Linked DNA regions of Caenorhabditis elegans. The protein of the gene in region 1 purifies or fractionates together with the protein of each later gene. This does not show direct contact. Each region holds a gene or a part of one and is shown in the gene's direction. Other genes may lie near its edges. The genes, in order: hipr-1, asp-4, dbn-1 and cht-3.

Evidence for each region.
Region 2: the proteins of hipr-1 (region 1) and asp-4 fractionate together in Caenorhabditis elegans (co-fractionation; one large-scale study listed by BioGRID). This does not show direct contact.
Region 3: the proteins of hipr-1 (region 1) and dbn-1 fractionate together in Caenorhabditis elegans (co-fractionation; one large-scale study listed by BioGRID). This does not show direct contact.
Region 4: the proteins of hipr-1 (region 1) and cht-3 fractionate together in Caenorhabditis elegans (co-fractionation; one large-scale study listed by BioGRID). This does not show direct contact.

The regions. Positions count from the first base shown.
Region 1 is NC_003281.10:8,718,334-8,725,844, forward strand, and holds hipr-1 (Huntington interacting protein related 1), read left to right. Parts: upstream 1-1,868; 5' UTR 1,869-1,870; coding exon 1,871-2,142; intron 2,143-2,190; coding exon 2,191-2,447; intron 2,448-2,507; coding exon 2,508-3,031; intron 3,032-3,115; coding exon 3,116-3,227; intron 3,228-3,308; coding exon 3,309-3,670; intron 3,671-4,289; coding exon 4,290-4,386; intron 4,387-4,435; coding exon 4,436-4,519; intron 4,520-4,975; coding exon 4,976-5,765; intron 5,766-6,149; coding exon 6,150-6,411; intron 6,412-6,467; coding exon of another isoform or gene 6,468-6,473; exon of another isoform or gene 6,474-6,654; coding exon 6,655-6,678; 3' UTR 6,679-6,999; downstream 7,000-7,511. Other genes in the region: mrpl-11 (Large ribosomal subunit protein uL11m), read left to right, coding at 1-137; nte-1 (Patatin-like phospholipase domain-containing protein ZK370.4), read right to left, coding at 7,260-7,420, 7,474-7,511. UniProt on the Caenorhabditis elegans protein: Regulates pre-synaptic vesicle recycling at neuromuscular junctions of mechanosensory neurons. Plays a role in maintaining a normal defecation cycle.
Region 2 is NC_003284.9:13,218,467-13,223,229, reverse strand, and holds asp-4 (Aspartic protease 4), read left to right. Parts: upstream 1-1,767; 5' UTR 1,768-1,802; coding exon 1,803-1,888; intron 1,889-2,469; coding exon 2,470-2,656; intron 2,657-2,702; coding exon 2,703-2,826; intron 2,827-2,953; coding exon 2,954-3,196; intron 3,197-3,407; coding exon 3,408-3,951; intron 3,952-4,004; coding exon 4,005-4,155; 3' UTR 4,156-4,245; downstream 4,246-4,763. Other genes in the region: skr-20 (Skp1-related protein), read left to right, coding at 1-214; R12H7.4 (G_PROTEIN_RECEP_F2_4 domain-containing protein), read right to left, coding at 4,299-4,403, 4,453-4,704, 4,751-4,763. UniProt on the Caenorhabditis elegans protein: Aspartic protease, which is part of the necrosis cell death pathway. Involved in neuronal cell degeneration. Involved in heat stress response.
Region 3 is NC_003281.10:13,758,934-13,763,852, reverse strand, and holds dbn-1 (DreBriN 1/DreBriN-like (where Drebrin is from Developmentally REgulated BRaIN protein) family homolog), read left to right. Parts: upstream 1-1,783; coding exon 1,784-1,922; intron 1,923-1,971; coding exon 1,972-2,084; intron 2,085-2,401; coding exon 2,402-2,703; intron 2,704-2,762; coding exon 2,763-2,972; intron 2,973-3,017; coding exon 3,018-3,616; intron 3,617-3,663; coding exon 3,664-4,232; 3' UTR 4,233-4,409; downstream 4,410-4,919. Other genes in the region: toca-2 (Transducer of Cdc42-dependent actin assembly protein 2 homolog), read right to left, coding at 4,505-4,568, 4,612-4,786, 4,870-4,919.
Region 4 is NC_003282.8:7,001,869-7,009,654, forward strand, and holds cht-3 (Chitinase-like protein C25A8.4), read left to right. Parts: upstream 1-1,754; 5' UTR 1,755-1,756; coding exon 1,757-1,864; intron 1,865-1,982; coding exon 1,983-2,260; intron 2,261-2,325; coding exon 2,326-2,536; intron 2,537-2,582; coding exon 2,583-2,677; intron 2,678-3,055; coding exon 3,056-3,323; intron 3,324-3,369; coding exon 3,370-3,726; intron 3,727-3,776; coding exon 3,777-4,075; intron 4,076-4,121; coding exon 4,122-4,499; intron 4,500-4,786; coding exon 4,787-5,058; intron 5,059-5,137; coding exon 5,138-5,265; intron 5,266-5,307; coding exon 5,308-5,398; intron 5,399-5,724; coding exon 5,725-5,828; intron 5,829-5,873; coding exon 5,874-5,962; intron 5,963-6,012; coding exon 6,013-6,406; intron 6,407-6,890; exon of another isoform or gene 6,891-6,911; intron 6,912-7,231; coding exon 7,232-7,363; 3' UTR 7,364-7,400; downstream 7,401-7,786. UniProt on the Caenorhabditis elegans protein: Putative chitinase.

The DNA.
Region 1 (7,511 bases):
TGGGAATTGATGTACAATATCATGATTTGGATCCAGTCGAATTGAAAGAATTTTTAGTTGCCCGGAAAGAGAAAGTTGATGCTCAGTTGAAGGATTTGGCAGATAAAAAGGCGGCGAAGATGCTCCGAACCACTTAATAAATTTTGTTTGGTTATAGGAATATCCTCCTAGGATAGACGTTTTTTTCTAGTAATTTTTGTTGTTTTTGTTCGTTACAATAAATCTCATTTTTATTTTCTGGATTAATTTGATTACCAATCGTTTCCAGCGATTTTCACATATTTTTCCAGAATTTAATACAGATTAATATTTTCGAAAAATTTAAACATTTTCTTTTCACATTTTAATTCATCTCTATTCATTATGCAATACTCTTTTGGTTTTCAAGCATCCGACATTCCTCCGTTTCATTTATGTTTGCATTTCTGCTGGCATGAATGCATTTCATTGTGTCTCGATGAGAAAAAGGACAATTTCATGAGCTTATCAGTTACTTCGTTTTCAAAATTTTAATGTTGACCAGCCATTGATGTCATATTTTGTCTAAGAAGCTCAAGAACTATTATTTTTTGAAGCTTAATTTCGAAGAGCAACATTTTTTTTCATTAAAATTCAGCAGTCATTGTTCTTTAAAAAGTTTTGATTCTCGTTTTTAAACGATTTTTAATTCAGTCGAGAATTGAATAACTTCCCGATTTCCCGGCCACCATCGTTTAATACCTTTTCTTTATGAGACTAACTTCCAAGTATGCAAATTGCAAATCGACGCAAGGGGAATACACTCGCTCACTTCTCATCGAAATTCGAAACCTTTTCCCATTTTCTTTCATGTCTTTTTCGCTTTTCTCCTCTCTGCCCATTTCCATTTATTTCTCAAACACCGTTCAGTGAACACGAAAACCCTTACGGAAATTGTGTTGTAAGAATACAAAAACTTCCGTAGCATAGCGAGAAAGAGTCACCATTTTGTAGTGTTTGCCCCCGGTGGTATAGTTTGCACAAGTTTCTGAAAGAAGAAGAAGACACATTTGAGGTCTTATGCACATAAAAATCAATGTTAGACTATCTTTTTCACGTAGTTTTCTTTTGCAAAGTGGAAACTTCTCATTAAACACTTTTTGCTTTTCAATTGTCTGAACAAGTTTTCGATTAAACAGCTGTAAAGCTTTTGCAAGTTTCATGGTTTATGAACTATTTCGAATCGGTTACATTGCTGAAGTTTTAGTGTTTCTTGAATATGTCGTCACTACCAGGACTGGACCAAAAATCAAAAAGAATTTAAAGTGAAATACCAAAAAAAAAATCGTCGATTTGCGATTTTTGAAGGACTGTAAGTGACTTTTTTGGCTTCATTTAGGTCCCAAAAAACCTTTTTTTTCTCAAAAAATGTGACTCAAAATACCAAAAAAGTCTTAACCTGATCACTTCGCCTTCTCAACTCAAGCCATTTTTGCTGTTTAGTTCGAATATGGAACAAATCATAAGAATCTTGAGTACCTATATGCGATACCCGATTCATTTTCCTCTCTTCTAAATAACATCATTTCCTCTCTTTTTCCCTCTCTCTCTCTCTCTGTTTTTGTTTGTGACTCACTTTGTCCACAACGCGCGCGGAACCGGCTTGTTGCCACACACACACTGTGATGAAATATGCGGGAGGAAAGCTTTTCGCCTAATAGTTGACTTACTTTTCATCTATATTCCTCAATTTTGCAACTAATAGATTGATTTGTCATGGTTTTGATTTCAGGGTTTTGAATATTCTTTGAAATTGGAATTTTTAACAAAAATGCAAATTATGTGCCAAGTCATATCTCCTCCTCACACTTTTTCTATCACATGCCCCCAAAAAAATTAATTTTTTTCAGGAATGGATCATCGTGCTCAAGCGCGCGAGGTATTCGTTCGAGCTCAACTGGAGGCTGTTCAGAAAGCGATCACGAAAAATGAGGTTCCATTGAAACCAAAACATGCGAGAACCATAATAGTAGGAACACACAAGGAGAAATCATCTGGAATCTTCTGGCATACTGTAGGACGGATTCAGTTGGAGAAACATCCTGTACTCACTTGGAAGTTCTGTCATTTGGTGCACAAATTGCTTCGAGATGGACATCGAAAGGTTCCTGAAGAGACTTACAGGTGGGGTTTCTTTGAAGGAGTGATAATCTTAAATTCAATATTTTTCAGATATGTTAATCGATTCACTCAACTTTCTCAATTCTGGAAACATTTGAATACAAGTGGATATGGTCCATGCATTGAGTCATACTGTAAATTACTTCACGATCGAGTCACTTTTCACAACAAATATCCAGTTGTTCCGGGGAAGTTGGATTTGAATGATTCACAACTGAAAACATTAGAAGGAGATTTAGACAATATGTTTGAGATGACAATTGATATGTTGGATCAGATGGATGCACTTCTTGTATTGCAGGATAGAGGTTTGTAATGATTTTTTCAAGTCTGGAAAATTATTGAATTATTAATTTTCTATTTTTCAGTGTATGAAATGATGAATTCCCTACGCTGGAATTCTCTAATTCCACAAGGACAATGTATGCTTTCTCCACTGATTATTGCAATTCTGGATACCAGTAAATTCTACGATTATCTCGTTAAAATGATCTTCAAACTTCATAGTCAAGTTCCTCCAGATGCATTAGAAGGTCATCGTTCCAGATTCCGAACAATTTTCGAGAGAACTAAGAAGTTTTACGAAGAATCATCGAATCTTCAGTATTTCAAATATCTTGTTTCAATTCCAACATTGCCATCTCATGCACCGAACTTCCTTCAACAATCCGATCTTGAATCTTATCGAACACCTCATGCATATCTTCATTCGGAAGGTTCAGAAGATGGAACTTCTCTCAACGGACATGACGGGGAATTATTGAATTTAGCTGAAGCAGAGCCACAACAAGCGAGTCCATCGAGTCAGCCAGATCCTAGAGAAGAACAAATTGTTATGTTGAGTCGTGCTGTTGAAGATGAAAAATTTGCGAAGGAACGACTCATTCAAGAAGTAAGAGTTGATTATTAAAATATAGTTTTTTTTTAAAACTATCATAAAAATAAACAAAATACAACATTTTTTACTATTTTCCAGGCGCGCAGCCGCATCGAACAATATGAGAACCGTTTATTGCAAATGCAAGGAGAATTTGATCACGCAAAACGAGAAGCTGATGAGAATCGAGAGGAGGCACAGAGACTGAAGAGTTCGTTTTTTTTTTTGGAGAATGATATTTTTCTCAAAATTAGTTGGAAGTCAGATTATTATTAATTAGATATATTTTCAGACGAGCTTGCACTTCGTGATGCATCAAGAACTCAGACAGACGATGCACGTGTAAAAGAAGCAGAATTGAAAGCAACGGCAGCTGAGGAAAGATTTAATAAAATGAAAGGAGTTTACGAAAAGTTCCGAAGTGAACACGTTTTAGCGCTCACAAAATTAGGAGATATTCAAAAACAACTAGAAGCTAGTGAAAAATCGAAATTCGATAAGGACGAAGAGATTACTGCTTTGAATCGAAAAGTAGAAGAAGCTCAACGAGAAGCTGGAAGAGCTTTGACAAAGGCGGAGGGTGATGCTGGAGCAGTTGATGAGATGAGAACTCAATTGGTTAAGGCTGATATTGAAGTTGAGGAGCTGAAAAGGGTAAGATTTGAATTTTTTAAAGTTTTATATACATTCAAAATTCGGAAACTCCTAGACTTTTTTTATAATTAAATTTATCATAATAAATTCACAAATTTTTAAAATTGAAATTCTCACTTTGAGAGAAAGGGTGTCATCGAAAAAATAAACATTCCCGAAAATCAAAAAATCGAAGAAAACATTTTTTTTTTCATTCGAATTTCGTTTATTTTGATGAGAAAAACATAAGAAAATATATATTTTTTTCTTAAAAAAAAACAAAAATGGTTTAAAAAATTGAATGCTGTTTTTTTGTTGAAAAATTAGAAAATCTGAAAAAAAAAACAAAAATTTCCGATTTTCTGGAAAATCGATATATCGAAAAAATTACATTTAAAACTAATTTTGTTTAACACGAGGAAACTAAGTAAGTTTCTATGAAGACGAAAAATGGCTAAAATTTTAAACTATTTTTCGAAAAATCGGAAAACGAAAGTCGAAAAACCGAAACTTGGAAGTATAAAGCATATTTTATGAAGAGAAAATGCAATTCGCTCCTCGCGATTTAAATGTCAAAAATGAATCATGTAAAAACATTATCACTGTATAGATATTAAAAAAAACAATTTATTTCTTACAGACAATCGATCATCTTCGAGAATCACACGCCAATCAATTAGTTCAATCATCTGCTGAAGAAACTAATAAGATCCGGCTCGCTGAGTTAGAAGTAGCCAGTAAGAAATTTTGGATAAATGTATTTTTTTTAAATACTTTAATTTTCAGAGGAATCTGGTGTTGGAATTACACAAATGTTTGATCATTGTGAAGATGCTCTACAGAATGCTACGTCTATCACTTATCCTCCACGTAAGTCATCATCAGGGCTGAGTCAGAAAAAAGTGTTATTTTCAAAATCGTGACCGAAAAAAGTTTTCTACCGGAAAACCGAAACATTTAAAAAAGTTTAGAAAATTAACAAAAAATAAATTCTATCAAATTTTGTTTATTTTGAATCGAAAAAACCTTATAAAATTTCATTTTCTAAAGTGAGTAAAAATGGCCAAAATTTAAACATGATTTTCGAAGAATCAACATTTATTTTTAAAACGAAACATGTTGAAACGTTATTTTTAAAAACTTGAAGAATATGATCAAAAATGCACTCGTATTAAAATTTCGAGTATTTTTTCATTAAAAAAAGTAAAATTAAAACATTGATTGTATTTTCCAAAAATACTTTTCTCCCCAAAAACACTAAAACCAACAATTTGGAAAAATTGAAAATTGTTTCAAGAAAACCACTTCAATTACTGAAATTTTCAGATCTCGCCCAGTCAGCAATGAATAATCTCGTCAATATTCTCTCGAATGAACGTCTTGATGAACCACTCGCTACAAAGGATAATGTTTTCGCTGGACATCTTTTATCTACAACTCTCTCTGCTGCAGCTTCAGCTGCTTACACTGCAAGTATCGAGAGTTATGAAGGTGTAAATGATCAGTGCAAGAAGGTTCTGGCTGCTGCAAAAGTTGCATTTTCTGATGACAGTGCTCTTTCAAGAGCTGATAAAATGAAATTACTTAGACAAGATATACAAACATTGAATTCATTGATGATATCACTTCCTCTTCAAACAGATATTGATAAAGATGTTGTTGGAAATGAATTGGAACAAGAAATGAGACGAATGGATGATGCTATTCGAAGAGCTGTTCAAGAAATTGAAGCAATTCAAAGAAGAGCTCGTGAGAGTTCAGATGGAATTCGTCTTGAAGTGAATGAATCGATTCTTGCAAATTGTCAAGCTTTGATGTCAGTAATCATGCAATTAGTAATTGCATCAAGAGAACTTCAAACTGAAATTGTCGCAGCTGGAAAAGCAGGAGGATCGCCTGCAGAATTCTACAAAAGAAATCATCAATGGACAGAAGGACTCTTGTCAGCTGCAAAAGCTGTTGGTGTGGCTGCTAGAGTGTTGGTCGAGTCAGCTGATGGTGTTGTGACTGGAAAAGGAAAATTCGAGCATTTGATTGTTGCTGCTCAAGAGATTGCAGCTTCAACTGCACAATTATTTGTTTCCAGCAGAGTAAAAGCTGACAAGGATTCGTCAAAGTGAGTTTTTTGGAAATATTATCCGATGCCAAAATTTGAGGTTTTCTCGAAAATTTAAAATCTCGAAGTGACCGTTTTTCTTGTAATTCAAAAGATAGTATGCATTTAAGGAGTACTGTAGTTGTCAACTTCTTGTTGTGGCTCAGATTTCATTGGTTTTTCCAAAACACAAACAACGACATATCAATAAGAAAAATCGTCAAAAATTAAAGCTATGTTTCGAAATATTGGAAGAACAATAATTTTTTGAAAATCAGAAAACTTTTAAAACAAGTATTTTTTTCATTTTTCTGAACGAAAATTTTCAAGGAAAAAGAACTGATTTTATTTCAGTAGTTTCTAAAACTTAACCGAATTTGTTTCTAAATTCGACAATATTTTCAGATTGGACGCTCTCTCGGTTGCTGCAAAAGCCGTTAATCAAAATACTGCCCAGGTGGTTGCTGCTGTCAAAAACGGTCAAACAACTCTCAACGATGAAGGTTCACTTGATTTCTCATATCTTTCGTTGCACGCTGCGAAGAAAGAAGAAATGGAATCACAAGTGAAAATGCTGGAATTGGAGCAAAGTTTGAATCAAGAAAGAGCAAAGTTGGCGGCTCTCCGCAAGCAGCATTATCACATGGCTCAGTTGGTTGCGAACAAGGTTAGTTTTTAAAAAATAGGAACATGTATTTCCTTAAAACCTGAAAACATTAACAGAGCTAATAGAAAACTGACTATCGAATTAGGAATCAAGGAATTTAAAGGTTTGAGCACTCCCCCCAAAAGCTCTCTTTTAACATCACTCCCTATGTTTGTATCCCGTGCACATTTACCAAGAATACAAAAACAAGCTACACCTTATTTGAAAATTATTACAACTCGTTTAAATCAATTTAAATTTCAGGAAGGAGAAGAAGCTCAGGAATAACCAACAATCTATCCGAGTATTTCCAAAATTGTACAATCTTACTCAAATTGCTTTTTTTTTATACCATATTTATATACATCAATGCCTTACCCTCTTTTTTCACTAAAATCTCAAATTGCTCCACTGCTTAATTTGTTTATACCAATTTTATCGTCCCACTTTGAGAAACTAGTCACTCCCAGTGTCCTGTGATTTCGGTGCCCATCCAACAGTCTATAGAGAAATGTTTTATAATTTGTAAATGTTTGTAAATCTCTTATTCTAAAAGCATCCCCCTTAAATTGTAAGAAACAACTTCTGAATATGAAATTGATTTCCAAAAATATTTATTTATCCGGAACACAATTCACAACTTTCTATACATTTGAGAAGAAGAGCATTCGAACCCCGTAATGAAATTCAGGCGATGGGACGGTGGGAGAGAGAAGTAAGGGAGGAAATATGTATATTTGACACAAAAGGGATCGATTTACAAAAATAAGCTACTTCTATGGGACCTATAAAAACGAGATCTTCAAAAAACGTATGGAACATCCTTTTGTGCTCCACTGCTTAACTTCTACAAAAAAGAGATTCCTGATTCAGGAAGAAGGAGGTCGTGGAGTTGTGCCACGTGGATTTTCACTAACATTTCCACCAGACGATGAGCTGCTCGGTGGACCGATGACAAGATCTTCATCTTCTGTGAACGACTCGTTTCCATTTTCAGACTGCGATGATTCCTCCTCGTAATAATCGGTATCTAAAATGGCTCGTTATTATCATCTAAACCTTCAAAACTTTTATATCACTCACCATTAAACAAATCATCATCTAATAGGAAATGATCGCCG
Region 2 (4,763 bases), on another chromosome or scaffold:
TCTTTTTGCACTACTCAATGCTTCTCATGCGCTTGGAGTCGAAGATTTGATGAATATGGGGTGTGCAGCCGCAGCAGAATTGATTCGAGGAAAAAGCACGGAAGAAATTCGCAAGATCTATGGAATCAGGTCAGATGAAGAACAAATGGAGGAAGCGTTGGCAAATGGTGGAGAGGGAACATCTGCAATGACATTCACAACGGATTCTGATTGATGTTTAATTTCACATATTGTGAAGAAGATGTTTGAAAGAATATATTTATACACTTTGATTCAAGTTTATTTGTGAATAAATTATTTTACAAACCTCATAAATGAAAAATTGAAGTTATAAGAATGTAAAAGAATAGTTGGAAAACAAAACAAACAACTAAAGTGTCACTACTAATTAAAAAATTGCTTAAAATTAAATATCAAAGAACCATATGTAAATCAAGTTCTCGTTGTTTCAGAATATGAGGTGAGCCCCCAAATTACCGGATTTTTATTTCCGATTTTTTCTGATTTTGCATCCAATTTGGCCGAACTTGTACATTTCTGGTGTTTATTGCAAAATACTAGGTTTTAAAAGAACTAAACGTTTATAAACTTCATGACGGAATTGAATGCAGCGTTCTGATTACTAAATCTGGAAAATTTAATAGTGTGCTTTTTTTTAAAGTTTTTTTTTTCATCTGCCTTAATTTGCCCTTTTTTGTGGAATATTATTTTTCAATTTTGTTAGTTAAGTAAAGTTTCACTATGCTCAATTCTTCAGACTTTGGGGGGATAACTTTTTCGAGAGTTGTGATTAAAAGATACATAATATTCATATATCCAGTGCCGGTTGTTTCCAATAATAGTTTTTATTGTATAGCTTTTTTCATGCTAATCCATTTCATCTAAAATTTTTTATGTATGCATTAGGACATTGCATTAGGACATGATAATTTCATCAACAATTTTAATGAAAACTGAAAATTGAACATTGAACAAAAATGTCAACAATGTTATACGAAAATTGTATATAGTTTTTCAAAAACAATTTTTAAATCTCCTGTAAGTTTTCCACGCAACTTGTATATTTTATAGGCTTAATTTAAGCAACTACTTGATATAGGAGCCCTTGAACAATTGTAGAATCTGTTTTGTAAAGCTATAACCCAATCATAGTTGTTTTAAGATGAATGAACCTAAATCAATATTATCCTTAGCATTCAAACACTGTTGTTCACAAATCAGACGGAAAAAACGGGCAGCATCCACGCTATTTTCCATCCACAAAAAAACCTCAATTTACAGAGCTTTTGTGTCTTCTATGTTTAACAGTTTAACATTAAAATTGCTTGGTCTTCCAAACGTTTTGGTTTTATTTCAAAAGTGGCCATGCAATTTTTTTCATAGTCCATTGCGTGATTGACTAACTGTCTTTCAAACTCCGTCAAAAGTCCCAATTACTGTCTACAACAACCTTGAAGACAAAATTAGATAGGATCTTGATTTGGCCGAGTTTTGAAATTATCCCATTTTCTCTCCCCTAAATCGAAACAGAACAAAGTTTCACAATTCCCTTATCATTCAAACTTGTCATCTCACCGGTACAGACGGACACGTTGACAACGGTCAGGCCATTTTTTGAATGTTTAGAATTTACTTTCCGATAATTATGCATGACAGCTGGAGGAATAACAACGAGACAGTTGACCTTGCAGCTGCTGTTGTGCCGGCAAAGAAACAAGGCGGAGTCATCATGAAGAGAAAGGGGAGATAAGAAAAGGCACAATTGAGATCGGAAGAGGCATTCAGTTAGTTTCATCGTCAGGATGAACCGCTGTATTCTTTTGCTCCTCGGAGCACTTCTTCTCGTTCAAGGTCTTCATGTTCACAAGAGGCAACAGAAATTGAGAACGTAAGTAGAGGTCGTTGGAGGTTTGTTGACACCTCATTTTGATCATCGATATAGTGAAAATGTTGGTCATGTTTCTTAATATTAGGTGCCACGCAAACACCTACTTATGACATAACTGAATAGGTGTGATAATGTGCAAGATTGATTGATACTTGAATCCTCGGTAATGAGTAACCTTGTTATCTGTTTCAATATTATATAATCCCGTCAGAATCTCATTTAGACAGGATACTATAAAGAACTGAAAGTTGTCCATTGTTTTTTATTGTAGTTTCAAATCTGATTTTGACATTAAAAAAAAAACCTAATAAAATTTTTCTAACTGTGAAAGGATTATTTAAATTCATTGGGTTTTGTTGGGAACACTTCTTTCTACTTTGATCATAACACTTTTTCTTTCTATTTTGTCTCACAAATCTAAGATTTCGAGAAGGCACATCATGCCACTTTTTCTCTCGATGGGTCACAAGACCCTCCTGCTTATCCCATTCGAGTTGATCAACACTGCTCAAAAATCCGAACAACAAGAACAAAAACAAGTGACCCACTCAGCAGTTGCTCAGTTCTTATTCTGCTTGCAGCGTTTCCCTGAAGAAGCAGCCGACTCTTCGCGAGACTCTTCTTCAAGCCGGTTCATTCGAAACCTTTGCCAAGCATCGTCATGGATATAAGAAGTACTTGAAAACCAATGGAAATCATCATTTCGACAAGTACCAAGCTTTGAATGTTGAAGGAGAGATTGATGAGCTTCTCAGAAACTATATGGATGTGAGAATTGAAACAACAAAAAACATATAACTAATCAAAGTTTTAGGCTCAATACTTTGGAACCATCTCAATCGGAACTCCAGCTCAAAACTTCACAGTCATCTTTGATACTGGGTCTTCCAATTTGTGGATTCCATCGAAAAAGTGTCCATTCTACGACATTGCATGCAGTAAGTATTTCATCACCAAATCAAACTGATATCATGCTTTTTCTTGTGAACTGATGCTGACCGAAACGTGTTTGTTTTTGACAGTTTTATGGTTTGGACAAACAAATAAAACACTTTTTCATTTCAGTGCTTCATCACCGTTACGACTCAAAGAGCTCGTCAACATACAAGGAGGATGGTAGAAAGATGGCAATTCAATATGGAACTGGATCCATGAAGGGATTCATTTCAAAGGATAGCGTTTGCGTCGCAGGAGTGTGCGCTGAGGATCAGCCATTTGCTGAAGCAACCAGTGAACCAGGAATCACCTTTGTCGCTGCCAAATTCGACGGAATCCTCGGAATGGCTTACCCTGAAATTGCGGTTCTCGGTAAGAGTTTGAAGTAGACTGGGATACACCCGGATAATCGGAAGGGTTCAGCATTTTGTTTTAGTTATAAAAGCTGTGCATTGAACATTTTGGTGTGAAGTAATAATAAGTTGCATCCTGTATGCCATCAAAGGTACAATAATTACAGAAAATGACTTTTATTTTCTGAGCACTTACTAGGTTTTCTCACTTCTGTAATACTCTATTGCAGGAGTTCAACCAGTGTTCAACACTCTTTTCGAACAGAAGAAGGTCCCATCGAATCTTTTCTCATTTTGGCTCAACCGTAACCCAGACTCTGAAATTGGAGGAGAAATCACTTTTGGAGGAATTGACTCAAGAAGATATGTTGAGCCAATCACCTATGTTCCAGTCACCAGAAAGGGATACTGGCAATTCAAGATGGACAAGGTTGTTGGATCTGGAGTTCTTGGATGCTCCAATGGATGCCAAGCAATTGCTGATACCGGTACTTCTCTCATAGCCGGACCAAAGGCTCAAATCGAAGCCATCCAAAATTTCATTGGAGCTGAGCCTCTCATCAAGGGAGAGTACATGATCAGCTGCGACAAGGTTCCAACACTTCCACCAGTCTCTTTTGTGATCGGAGGACAAGAGTTCAGTCTTAAGGGAGAAGACTATGTCCTTAAGGTTTCACAGGGTGGAAAGACTATTTGCTTGTCTGGATTTATGGGAATCGATCTCCCAGAACGCGTTGGAGAGCTCTGGATTCTTGGAGATGTCTTCATTGGAAGGTGAGCCATATCTTTTCTCAAATTAAACATTGACGAACCCAATGAAAAATCAGGTACTATTCCGTCTTCGATTTTGATCAGAACCGTGTCGGATTTGCTCAAGCTAAGACCGCCGATGGCCGTCCAGTTGATCCAGCTCCACGACCATTCCGTTCTGTCTTCGACAACGAAAGTGAGGAATCCATGGAACAAGACGACGAATAATCAACACGTTATTTTTCTCACAAATCCAGGTTTTTAAAATATTTTTAATTCATTGGCTTTATAAAACACTTTATGTTTAATAAATATTTTTCTATCAACACAATTGAAGGCACATAATCGAAAAATGCGATCATTTAGCGCCACTAAGCAACAGATGGACGAAACAAAATGTCTCCACTGTTTCCGCTATTGCTCGAATCGGTGAGCCATGAGTAGAATTTTTGAGACTCTGTGTGCTTTGTGGGGTCCTAGAAAAATAAATATAGTAGACACATCAAAATTGATAGCAACACTCACCAGTCCTTTTCCTCTTTGTGTTGATTTTTTCGGACTACTATTTCCTGATGTCTCATCTGGCTCTTTCGAGTCGCCAGCTCCAGGTTGCTTTTCTGGATTTTCATCTTCATTTTCTAGAGGTGTTTTTTCCTGAGGATTTTCAATCTTCTCATCTTCTTCATCATCTTTATCTTTTTCATATGTTGAAGGTTTCGGTGGACACATAGCGTATAAACTAGCAAAACACCCCGAACCAGCCCACTTCTGACAGGTCTGAAAAGCAAAAAAACAGACTGTGCATGAAAAATCAGTTGCTTACATTCAAATGTCCA
Region 3 (4,919 bases), 5.0 Mb from region 1:
TCACTTTGTTCATTTTATGTAAATATCGTTTTTCTCTACCCAGCGCGCGAAACATCCTGCCTCAATTTTTTTTTGAAATTTCGATTCACCAACTATTTTTTAATCAACCTGATGGAACAATTCATTCCCCCAAAAATGATCAGAATGACTCAGTTCACAAATGCGCAAACAAACAGTCGCAAGTAGAGAAGTCATCAAGAGATTAGTCATTCTGCAGAAAATCCCAAAATTTACTGCTTTAACCCTTTGACTGTGAGACAGTATGAAAAGCGAAGAGATTTAGGGTCACCTAGAAGGAAAAGTTTTTAGTAAAGACCTACACACACGAACAATTAAATATACCACTACTACTACATACTTCTTGTGTCCGACTTCATACGAGTGAGAGACGACAGCCATTAAGGGCGGTCGTATGTTCCACTGAGCGCTCTGAACTGCTGCGTCTTAACGGACAGCCTCACTATTTCCCTTACTATCTTACTGCCGCCCTGAACTGGCCCAACACACACAAACACAATCAAAAGTGACTCACACACATCTTGGGGCCAATGTTTCTTTTTGATTAGTGTTATTAATATGTTTTCTATCCCTTTCAATTTCGTTTTCAAATAGATGAGTACATATGTAGAAAATCTAAAAAATGTGTTGAAATTAATCATCTATGCCGTTTTTCAATGTGAAAACCTATTTTTATTTAGATTTTAACCTGCAGATCGTTTAAAATGTTTTCATGAAAGCTTAAACCACCTTCAAACGCTCCAAATTTTAGATTTATTTTTTGAATTTCTAGCAGTACTGTTGACATTCTTTCTTGAACATTTGAATATTCTTTCTTCTGTTTTTTTTAGATCAGAAATATCTGTAAATATAAAATTTTAAGCGATGAATTACAGCTTTAGTTTTTTCTGTTTCAAAACAATTTAAATAATTTGAAACGAAACAAATTTCCTCCAAACTCAATTTTTCGCTTAAAATTAACCAGAAAGTGAAAATATTGCCATAATTAAAAATAATAAATTTGAAGCCGCTCAACTACCGTAACTTCAAAGGCACATGACTTTAAAAATCTATTCGTGGCGAGACCCATCCTCTTTTAACCTGATTTCTGAAAGTTTATTTGTTTCTCTTTTCCATCAAATTTTGTATCTTTGCATTGAAAATAATTGGGTATTTTCGCAAATTTTTGTCGGTCAGCCTATTAGTTTTCCATTTTTAATCGCAACGATCAGACCATAGAATCCGGAGTTTTTCATGCAAAAATGTGTGAGACACGCACGCGGAGACTCGACCGCGAGAAGATTAAGCTTTGATTCCAATTCAATCTCGCCTACCGGAAAAAAAAAACATCTCTCGAGACATTTCTTTAGTTTTCTGGAGGGTCTCTGCCTACCGCTGGCGCGGGAACGAGAGATGTTTGCTGGCGGCTACGCCCGTTCCGTTCTCTCATTTCCTGGTCAACTACCGAAAATGGTCTTTTAAACGATTTTTTACTTGAGATTCTTTATATTAACCCATAAATTTCTCGGCCTTAATTGAAAATTACCTCGTGACTCGATCAAATCGAGAAAAATGCACACCTTTGTGGCAAATTTGCCATATGTTGCGAAACATAGTGTGATTAATGGAGTACCATAGAGAAATAAGTTCTGCGTAGAAAGAAAATAAAAAAATGATAAGGAGACCATTCGGAGGCTTTTTATCGCGTCACTATTACAATTTTCCCTCGATTTTAGCTTAATAATTACAATATAGGTCGTCGAACCCTATATTGTATGTGTTCCAGATGACTCTCAACTATCATGCACACGGCAAGGAGATTGAAGCGTCGTATCGGCGTGCCAGTGATGACTCAGATGGCGATAAATGGGTGATTTTCGATTATGAAGGAAATTCGAACACATTACGAGTCAAAGAAGAAGGAAGTAAGTTCAGATTTCGTTGCTTTCCCTCCTAAAAATCTATTTATTTCAGCTGGTGGTCTTGAGGAGTTCGCCGACAGTTTCAGCTCGGGAAAGCTCCAGTTTGGTGTGATTTCGGTGCGACTGAGCAGTGATGTCTTCCCGAAAATCGTTTTGGTGCATTGGGTATGGAGTTTACGGCTAAATTGAAAGGAAAACGAAAATCGAAAAAATTCGTGATTACTAGGTCTTAAAAGTTGAATATTAACAAAAATCATGTCAATTTGCTTGCATTCCATGTTCCTCTCAAAAGATAACGCTATTGTGAGATTTTTTGCTGAAAATTTTTTTTAAAAATCCATTTGTAAAACAAAAACTGTAGTTTTTTCCAAAAATTCTTTGTCAGTTATGGTTTCAAATATTTTTAGAGATGTATCGAGATTTGTATACTTTTAAACACGAAGTTCCAGGAAAAAAACCATTTTAATGTTTGAATATTGCAGCAAGGCGAAGGAGTCCCCACACTGCGTTTGGCCTCAACGACACCGCACGCTGAAGAGTTCCGTAGATTCTTGAAAACAGTTCACATTGTGCTCCATGCCAGATCGGAAATCGACATCGAGCCGGACGCGATTCGAAAAGAGGTGCGAAAGCTCCCGGCGGCGAACGCCAACGCCATCGTCGAATCCACGTACAGCATGCCGGAGAAGGTGAATTCGGTGTACCAGCCGACGAATGCACACTCGGAGCTCAGCTCGGAGGCTCGCGAGAACTTCTGGAGCACAACAAATCAAGAGGAGAAGAGGTACTGTCTACATGAAATCGTGTCCTGAAAATCAAGTAATCACCTCTAAGAAGTTTCAGACGACAAGCCGACGAGAAAGTGGCTCATGCGAAACAGCAAAAGCAGTATGAAGCTGACCGTGATCGCACGGCCGCGGCAATTCACACAAAAGCCGAAGATTTCCAGCCGGAGAAGGTTAACTCGGTGTACAAGCCGACGAAGCCCCACGTTGAGCTGAAGACGGTCAAACGGGAGGAGTTTTGGAGCAAGATGAACGAGGAGGAGAAGCTGTGGGTGTTTTGAGTAATTTATTGAAATAGAATTCGCAATTTTAGGCGTCAAGAAGAAGAAAAAACCGCTCGTGAACAAGCACACAAGCAGTTCGAAGCGGATCGACAGCGAATGGCCTCGGAAATTCACTCCAAAACAGAAAACTATCAACCGGATAAGGTCACATCGGTGTACAAGCCAACAAAACCGCACGTGGAGATCAGTTCATCAGCTCGCGAAGAGTTCTGGAGCAAGATGAACGAGGAGGAGCAGCGGCGGCAAGCGGAGGAAAAAGAGGCACAGGCCCAGAAGCAGAAGGAATTCGAGACGGATCGAAAACGGATTGCGGATGATCTTCACGGGAAGGCTCAAATTAGTGATAAGCCCGTGCCATCTTCGGTGAATCCAGCTCCAGCTCCCGCCCCCACTCCGAGCGCAGGTCTCGTTGGAAGCAGAAAAGAATTATTCAGCTCAAAACCTTCCGGTCCAGTGCTTCCGAAGCCTCAAGTGAATGGATCGCCTAAGAAGTGGCCGCCAGTTGGCACGACCTCTCCGCCCCGTGAACCCGTTAACCGACTCACTGAGCCAGATGAGCCTTCGACGTATACGCCAAAGCCAATAGCTTATGAGCCAGAGCCAATGGTTTACAAGCCCGAGGCTATGAGTCAGTTTTCGTATAAAGTTTATTAGTCCTAATTTGAATATTTTCAGAACCTGCCGTCTCTTACGATGCATACGAAGAGCCACCAGCAGAGCCAGCTCCACCTACATTCCTTGCTCCAACCCCGGTCATTGCTCCACCTCCACCTGAGCCAACTCCAGCTCCATCGCATTACGCCTCCCAGTACGATGCTCCACCGGTTCACGAGTCTTTCGAACCAGCTGTACCTCCAGTTTCAGCTCCTTCCCACTATGCGTCTCAGTATGATGCTCCGCCGGAGCCGATCGACTCTCACTCATCGAGCTCTCAACTGCCAGCTCACATCGCCTCACAGTATGACATGCCTCCAGTGATGCCAGAGGAGCCCGTGTTTGCACCGAAATCCTCGCCAATAAAAGTCGCTGCTCCACCAATTGATCAGTACGATTTCCCGCCGGCGGTCGCCGAGCAGAACGCGATGGCTCTCTGGGACTACCAGGCTGCAGATGACACGGAGATCTCATTTGATCCTGATGACATTATCACAGATATCGATCAAGTCGATAGCGGATGGTGGAAAGGACGTGCGCCCAGCGGCCGCGTAGGCCTTTTTCCCGCTAATTATGTGAAGCTGATTTAATTTGTCTAGATAGCCTAACCGTTCTTTTTTACTAATTTATTGTGCAATGTTTTTTTCCCATTTTAAACTCAACAATCCGCGGTGCCTCCCATTCTCCCACTTCCTGTAATTTATTATACCATTACTTTTTATGTGCATTTTCTCCGTAAATGGCAATATGAATCGAAAATCGAAGAATCTGTTTTTATAATCAATTATTTCATTCACAGGACGATAATAAGCGCAGTCTCGAGTACAATATTGATGATGATAATGCTATTTAATTTATGAAATCACTGGGGGAATTGCAAATACGAAGTTGGCACGAATCCTGACTCTTCGTTGTGTTTCCTGCAACTTTCATTTTATTTACTTGGTAATTCTTTGTTACTTGTATTACTTTTTGGTTCGAGTCCATCCATCTCCGTGATCGTGTTCGAGTACGAGAAGAATTTCGCCCTGCTCGATGGACATGGTCTCCGCGGAGGATTTGGCAAATTCGAACAGTGCGGTTACCGTAACCGCTGTCTCGACTTTAACTGAATCGGGAGTCGATAAAGATTTGCGAATGGCACCTGCAAAAAATTTATACTTATATTTAACTATTTTTTCTTTTATAAAAGCTTTTAAAAGGAAAAAAATGGATTTTTAATTTAACCTGAAAATGAGGATCTGAGAATCTTTGGTGATGAGATTTCGGCTCTTCGT
Region 4 (7,786 bases), on another chromosome or scaffold:
CAGAGAATCCAGTCTTTGGGAGCAAATCCCCTTATGCCATTACTTATTCGTGACTAGGAATTTTTCTAGGTTTTTTCTAATTGTAGCAGTATCATAGAATGTTGAAATAGGAAACGAAAAAACTTTTTTAAAAACGAAACAACTTTGTATTTTTATTCGTAATTGAAGATTTGTTGAAACAGGCAAAAATAAGTGAAATTTGACAAAGCAAAGTTGAGCAAAAAAGTGCAAGAAAAAACAATATTGAAACAAACATTCATATTGTGAATTGATACTTGAAATTAACGGAAGAAAAATCATTGATTGTAAGGCAACATGTTTAACCTCAAAACCCATATTAGCCGTTTCTTCCCTCTATTCCTTACTCATTTATGTGAGAACTGCAGATGTTGCAAACTCGTCATAAATAACTCGTTTGGGTGATGACAGTAATGTCATGTCACATTAAGAAAAGAAATGAAATCATATGAGATATTGAGAAATACATGAAAATTTAGTTCTGCTGAAACGAAAAAGTGCTCATATTTATGAAAACACTCATTCAGATTTCCGAGAATTATGATAATATCACGGAAAGTTTTATTTTAAAAAATGCTCTGTGCCGCTTTTGTCGATACAACTTCTGAAATTTTCAAAACCACCGCGGTGCCTCCCAGTAGGACTTCAAAAATTTATCTACCCATCTTGAGATCAAAACTTTCGAATAATTTTTGGCGACTGTCTTTTATAAATCAGGTTAAACTCCCAATGGATCTTTTTGCTTTGTCGCCTTATTCAAAACAATATCCCAAATAAATGAAATATTGTAGGATTTGTGTGACAGTTAGAAAACTAACTTGTGAGGCGGCAAAAATGACGAATTATTTTCTGTCTAGGGACACTATCCCCACCCGAGAAAAAGTAAAAACGCCGGCGACAACTACAAGAAGGACGAGGACAAAAGTGTTTCTTGTCAGGAGAAAAGAAGGGAAAAGGGTTTGTCAACATACGGAATACTGAAATATTGGTCCCCAGGGAGATCAAAATTGAAAACGGAAGGTTAAGGGAAAAAGTGGGTGGTTATGAAACATTGAGATCTTATTGAAAACCGAGGGAGAGTTAGAAATGGTTTTGACAAAAAAGTGAAAGACAATTTCGTAACTGTAAAATTCCTTGATATCTTGTGGAAATGTACCTGTCAGGGGTGTGAGGTGATCAAATTTACCGTTGCACCCAAAATGGAGCAATTATTTCTAACCTTTGAAGGCTAAAATGTTTTAAAATTTCAAAACAAAGACAGTTTTTCTTCAACTGCAGGCTCGAAAAACCTTGAGAAGTTGGAAATATGTCAATTGATTTGGAATTTATTCTCTAATTCTGATTTAACGTGAAGTTTATGGATACCAAACTTTAAATTTAAAAAAACTACAAAACTTTCTACAAGCATCCGTATCTCTATTTAAAAATAAAACATTTTCTTACATCATGCAATTGTTTCCCAGAGAGCCAACAACCAGTCAAATCTCGGTTTCAGCGACGAAATTTCAAATCAATCACCTAAAAACCAATAACATGTGGTATGCGAGGCTTTTGGATCTTCCGCCCACTTTATCATTCCCGAATCGCTTTTTTTATCTGCAGGTCAGCTCTTTTTTCTGGTTGAATCTGGGCACGAAAAATCGTATATAAAAGAGATAGAATCAGCATGCTTCTGTCATTTTTCCTCAGAGTTTTTCACCTTCTTATTGTGTTTTTATAATCTTTCTTCTTTTTAGAGATGGGTATAAAAACCCTCATTTGGCTGTCAATACTTGTAGTAGGCATATACTGTGAGATAAGTGATGAAGATGCTCCTGTTCATTATTGTTTTGTCAATCCTCCACCGGTAAGCAGCCATAAATGTTATCAAACAAGCAATGTCAATCAGAGTTTCAATTAAAAAATATTTTTTACTAAATATTGGTTTAATAGTTTTGATAATTGTAAAAGGCTCCAAATTGCAGAAAACTCGTCTCTCCCCAAATCTTCTTCAAAACATCACAACGTGCACCCATTTAGTGTATGGAAGTATTCCAATTGATCGAGACACTGGATATCCACAGTACAGTGTATCCGATGTTGAGTCTGGATATGATATTGACAATATTCGAACTTTCATGAGATTGAGAAAATATCATCCAAATGCCAAACTCTTGATGGGAGTTGTTAGAACAAAACCGTTTGAAGACGCGGCTACATCGGTGAAGGTTGCAAACGGGCTCCGATCTCATGTGAAGAGCAAGTGAGTTTGAGAATTTTGGGAAATTGGTCATCACAGCTTTATCAAAACTAAAATTTATTTTCCAGAAGATTCGATGGTTTATTTGTAACTTTCAACGGCATTCACCTTGAGTATCGAGCCTCAACGAGTTTTCTTGAAACGATTTCAAAAGACAAAAAGATGTCGTTAACATTTGGAGTCACAGGAAGAAGAGTTTTTGCATTTGATGCATTAAGACGACTTCAAGAAATCAATGATCTCGTTGAGTATATCTATTTGGATATGGGAGAATTGCCAGTAAGTATTTTCAGTTTAAAAAATGGTTGACTGGAGTTATTTTTAGTCAAACGAGGAACTTGCCAGAGTCACACACATAAATCCACTTTTCTATAATGGATCAATTCCGTTTGAGGAAACAATTCAAGGAACTGTCGAAGAGTAAGTCAAAATATATAGGTGAATTAGATCCAATACGGAATTTTCAAAGTCTGTCTTTTGAAAAATTCCAAATATCACAGTAAAACTTTTTCACTTTGATTTGTGTTTAAGTTATTGTCAAACATAGCCACTTCCTCATTTTTTGCAATTCATAATTTTGGAAAATGTTTTTTTTTTAATTTTACTGTTTCTTATGTTATTATTATCTTTTCATTTATTTTTTTTACCATCCGATGCTTTCAAAATGTTGAAAGAAAGTTACAAAATTCTGCAAAAAATTTTCAAAAAATGTTTAAAATTCTAAAACATTTTTAATAACGAAGGTTTTTACTCGTTTTGTGTATAAAACACCTATTGTCGTAACAATAAAAATTTAAGGTTGTCAAAAGAAGGAATTCTCCCTTCACGTATCGTAGTTGGACTGACTGCTGGAGGATGGAAATTTGAAATCAAAGAGACTCAAGATCCATTAAAAATCTCTCATGGACAATATGCTGAGAATAATGGAAAACGAGTTTCTTATCAAGATGCTTGTAGAGCTAGAGGAGCTGTCATTTATGATTGGCAGACTATGAATGAAATTACCGTGTACCGTCAGACGTGGATGAGTGTTAATCTACCAACAATTAAGGCTATGGGAGAAAAGGTCGTTGCAACTTATGCTTTAGCTCATGAAACCTATTGAATTCCAGATGAAATGGATATTGGGTCAAAAGTTTGCTGGAATTGGTATTAGCCACGCCCTCTTCGATGATCCACGTGGAGACTGTGGTACAGATCCGTTGCCAGCTCATCGTCTTGTCATGGAACTAATTCGTAATACTATTCCTGCGAATCCAGCCAAATGTACAAGACTCTGCTATTTGGATCCGGAGGAGGTTGAGGAAACATTCCCAATTGATAATCTGAAATCTGACTACTGTAGTCATATTGTTGTTCCATACTTCGCCCTTGATCTCTCCGACAAAATGATTGAAGAGGATAAAGCCGAAGATCTGGTGAAGAAAATTGATGATTGGAGAAGCAAAATAGTTGAAGTGGCACCGAGGGTAAGAACTCTTTGAAACCGTTTTCAGATTTCAAAGGAAAACTATTTCAGCTTATTCTTTCTGTCGGATCAAAACAAGCCTCAACAATATGGCAATTCCTCCTTGGAAACGATTTTCATAGAAAAGAACTTGCTGAAGGTCTTGTTAAAGCAATCAATTCAACAAACGCAGATGGGCTTGAGATTTCGTGGACTTCTCAACCAATGGTCAGCGATTTTGATAAGAAGAATTTGAAATCATTTATCAATGATATCGTCGCAGCGGACACAGCAAAGATGGTGGAGATCGTTGTGGCAACTTCACAACAGAGCGCTTATTCGGACTTTTATGATTATGAGCATTTGAACAAGTTGGTTTACTTTAATATAATATTTATTTTAATTCAAAAATTTTAGAACTGCATCACTAATTGTCCTTCACTCTCATCGTCTTCACTCGGATTCTCTTCCATTCACAGGACATCCTTCACCTCTTCGTGCCACTTCATCAATGACTAATCAAAAAATGAGTTGGGAATCGTTGCTCTCTCACTGGGTCGAAAAACGTGTACTCCCTTCAAAACTTGTATTGTCTCTGAGTGCATCCACTTTATCCATGCAATCACTTGCTGATGTGAGAAGCTCAGCTGCAACTCCATTTGGACAATCAGCTTTTGTGTCAATGTTGAGATCGAAAAAAGGAGATATTCATAGTCAGCAGGAGATCTGTGAAAGCCTGAAGTCTGGAACTGGTGTCACTCATTGGGTTGATGGAGCTGAAGTACCATATTTGAGGTAAGTAATATTTTGGGATTTATGGTGAACTGAGCCCTTTGAGAATTTTATTCTAAATTATTTCAAATAAACTTCCCCAGTGTACAAAGCGAAAAAGTTTAAGCCAATTTAATGACATGAGAAAAACTGGAAATTAGTTTCGTATTTCTATCTCAATTTAACAAAATAATATTTTTAAATTTATATTTAAGTATAAATACGGAAAATGATTTAGCAAGTCAATTTCCAGTGGTTCAAGTTACTACCAGGACCAAAATGTGAATTATCACAAAATGCAATAACTTCAGACGATACGATCAAATGGTAGCATATGAGAATACTCGTAGTGCTCACATCAAAGCAGTATGGGCATCAATGGAAGGTGTTGGAGGACTTGCTCTTCACAACATGCACCAGGACGATCCGAGTGCAGTTTGTGATAACCGTACTGCATTCCCCATTTTAAATGCTCTTTCTCGTGCTCAAGTTTGTCAGACTTGCCTGAAACAGCATGACTTCAAAAAGTGTGAACAACACGATTTCGTGGTTAGCTGCAATTTTGAATTGAAGAGGAGCACTCGTAAGCTTTTTTTTGGATTTTCTGATGTGTGAAATTTGAAACAGAAAATTTTATTTTTGAAAAATTTAATATTTTTCAGCTGTTTTCAAAACGGACATTGTCCCATACGAGCGTTGCACGGAAGTTGTCGTTGAGCAGGCAACACTCACTTTAGGTGGAAATGTGAATTTCAATGATGTTCAACAAGAACAAGTTGTTAAGAATTTGGTAAGTTTTCGCACCTGCCTTGTAGTCTATAATGAGTTTTAGACATCATTGAGGTCAAAAATGGTTAAATGTGGAATGGTGCTTTCACTATCATGCGGTGATTCTGAGAAATATTTGAATTCAATTCTTGGTGGTGAGTTTCATTTTACAATTTGTAAATTACAAATTAAGATCATGTTACCTGGAAGAAAAGCTCTTAAACATATTCCTGAAAGCTTTTTCAGTGCATACTTCCAATATTCGATTTTTTTTATTTTTTGCAAACCTATTACGACTTTGAGAGATTTTAAGGTGGCCGAGGATTCTGAAGTTTTTGAAAATGAAACAAAATCTGAAAAATCTTGATGCGGTTGGGTGTCTGAAAATCCAAAAGTTAACTCGTACATGATTTTTATTGAAAAGCATTTGATTTTTGTTAACTTCGAAATTAAGCCCATAACCAATTTTTCCATATTGTAGACAACATGACATTTGCAATTGGCAACGTGATGAATATTATGGAAAAGTACAAATTTTCTGGAGTACAATTGGATTGTGAAAAAGTGATTCGCAGAGGAAACCATGTAATTTATTAGGTTTAAGAATAAATTACCTATGAATCTATTCAGATTTACTTCAACACATTCGTCAAAAAATTGGCACAGAAGTTTGAAAGCGGCAAGGCTTCCAATGGGTGTAACAGGACACTTTCAGCAAGGCAACCTTTTCATAGAGGTTTTTAAAAAGCTATATATCCCATTATTTCAGATTTTCCCATTACACACAAAAGCCGTCAACGTACTACAGTGTATCTCTATTGAATCGTCTGTCTCACATTGCATTAAGAATGACTGATAAACATTCCGTTGATCTTCCATTCTTCTTCAATCACACAAAGCCTGAGTTCCCGTCAACTGAGAAATTTGTGAATATTTGGAAGAATGTGGGACTGAAACCGGATAAGCTAGTTTTGGAACTCTCGCCATTTGGTTGGCAGACTGGAAAGAAAGTGGGGGAGAAGAAGAAAATGACACAAGGAGTTAATTGTGTAACTGCTGGGAATAGAGCTGTCTACGAACATGATTATGAAACATTGACAGGAATGACCAAACATGAAAATGGAACTATCAACATGCCAATGATTGAAGATTTTAGATACAAAGTAAGTTTCTTTTTTGGCATTTATAGCTCCCGTGATGACTGATTTTGAGATCTGGCGAGACCCCACTTAAAAAAATAAAGTTTCACATTTTCACGAAAGTAGAATAAATTACTGTTTTGTTTAAAGGGGGACTAACGGTTCGGACGATTTTGAATAGACTCAACATGGGCTCAAAAGAACAAATTTCGTAATGAAACTTCTCAAAAAATAATATCAAAAATTTTTTGTGGCAGTTCAAAATTTGAAAAAGTTACACTGCTATTAGGTAAAATCTCGTTTTTACCCACTTTTCCATATCGCGGTCCGAAGTTGCCCTTTTTTTGAATTATTGTTCTTTATTGCATATTTTGGTAGTCTATATCATTTAATTTCGTTTATTACAGTACATTTGAAGCCGATAGGTAACCAATTTTGATGATTTTTGGTTACCTATCGGCTTTTAATGTGCCTTTACCGACAAAATTTAATAAGATAAACTTCCAAAATTTGGAATAATGGATGTACAATAATCAAAAATTTTCAAAAATTTTTTGTAAACTTTTTGAAACAGTAATTTTTTTCAAAATTTCTCAAAATGTGATTGTTTTTGAAAATCTGATAATTTTCCAACAATTTGACGGAAAAATTTGCTAATCGTAAGTCTAAAATCTTTTGAAAGGTTCCATTATGATATTCTGTCATGTTGTATTATTAAAAGTTTAACAAAAGCCACATTATATTATAGCTGAAATCTCTACAAATACAGTACATATAATAATTTTTCTAGAAATTCTGGAAATTCTATCAAATTTCTAGGATTTTTTATTCAAGTATTCAAATTTTCAGATTGGTTACATCCAACGTGAACAGCTCGGCGGTATTGCATTGAATGTAAATGGAGATGACTATACTGGAATCTGTGGGCGTGGATCATTCCCAATTCTGAAATCTGTTTATAGTTCCCATAAGTGTCGTTAATTTCTGAAACTTCACAATTTTGATAAATAATTATTTTATTTCGTTTGATATCGATAATGGATGAGTTCAACTCTCCCACACGACCAAATTTTTTTTTACGAAAAAAAAGGGAAAAAGCGGGGAAGGGGGAATTGGGACACCATTTACAAAATATGAATGGTTTTTGTTCAAAGTTCCCAGTGATAATAATGTAGACTTAGTTGGTGCTAGAGGAAGTTCATTTAACTTGGACAAATTAACAAATTTGTTGATTTTGACGGTGAATATTCTGTGATCGAGGAATTCCTTGAACCAGAAACAAGCTAGTCAAGACCGAACTTGGCAAGTTTTCCTAAGAGACTGTGTGAAACTTTGTTAAAGGCTTTAACAAAATCAAAAAATATAATATAAAGAGATTTTTCTTTCATTAGAAGTGAATGGTAG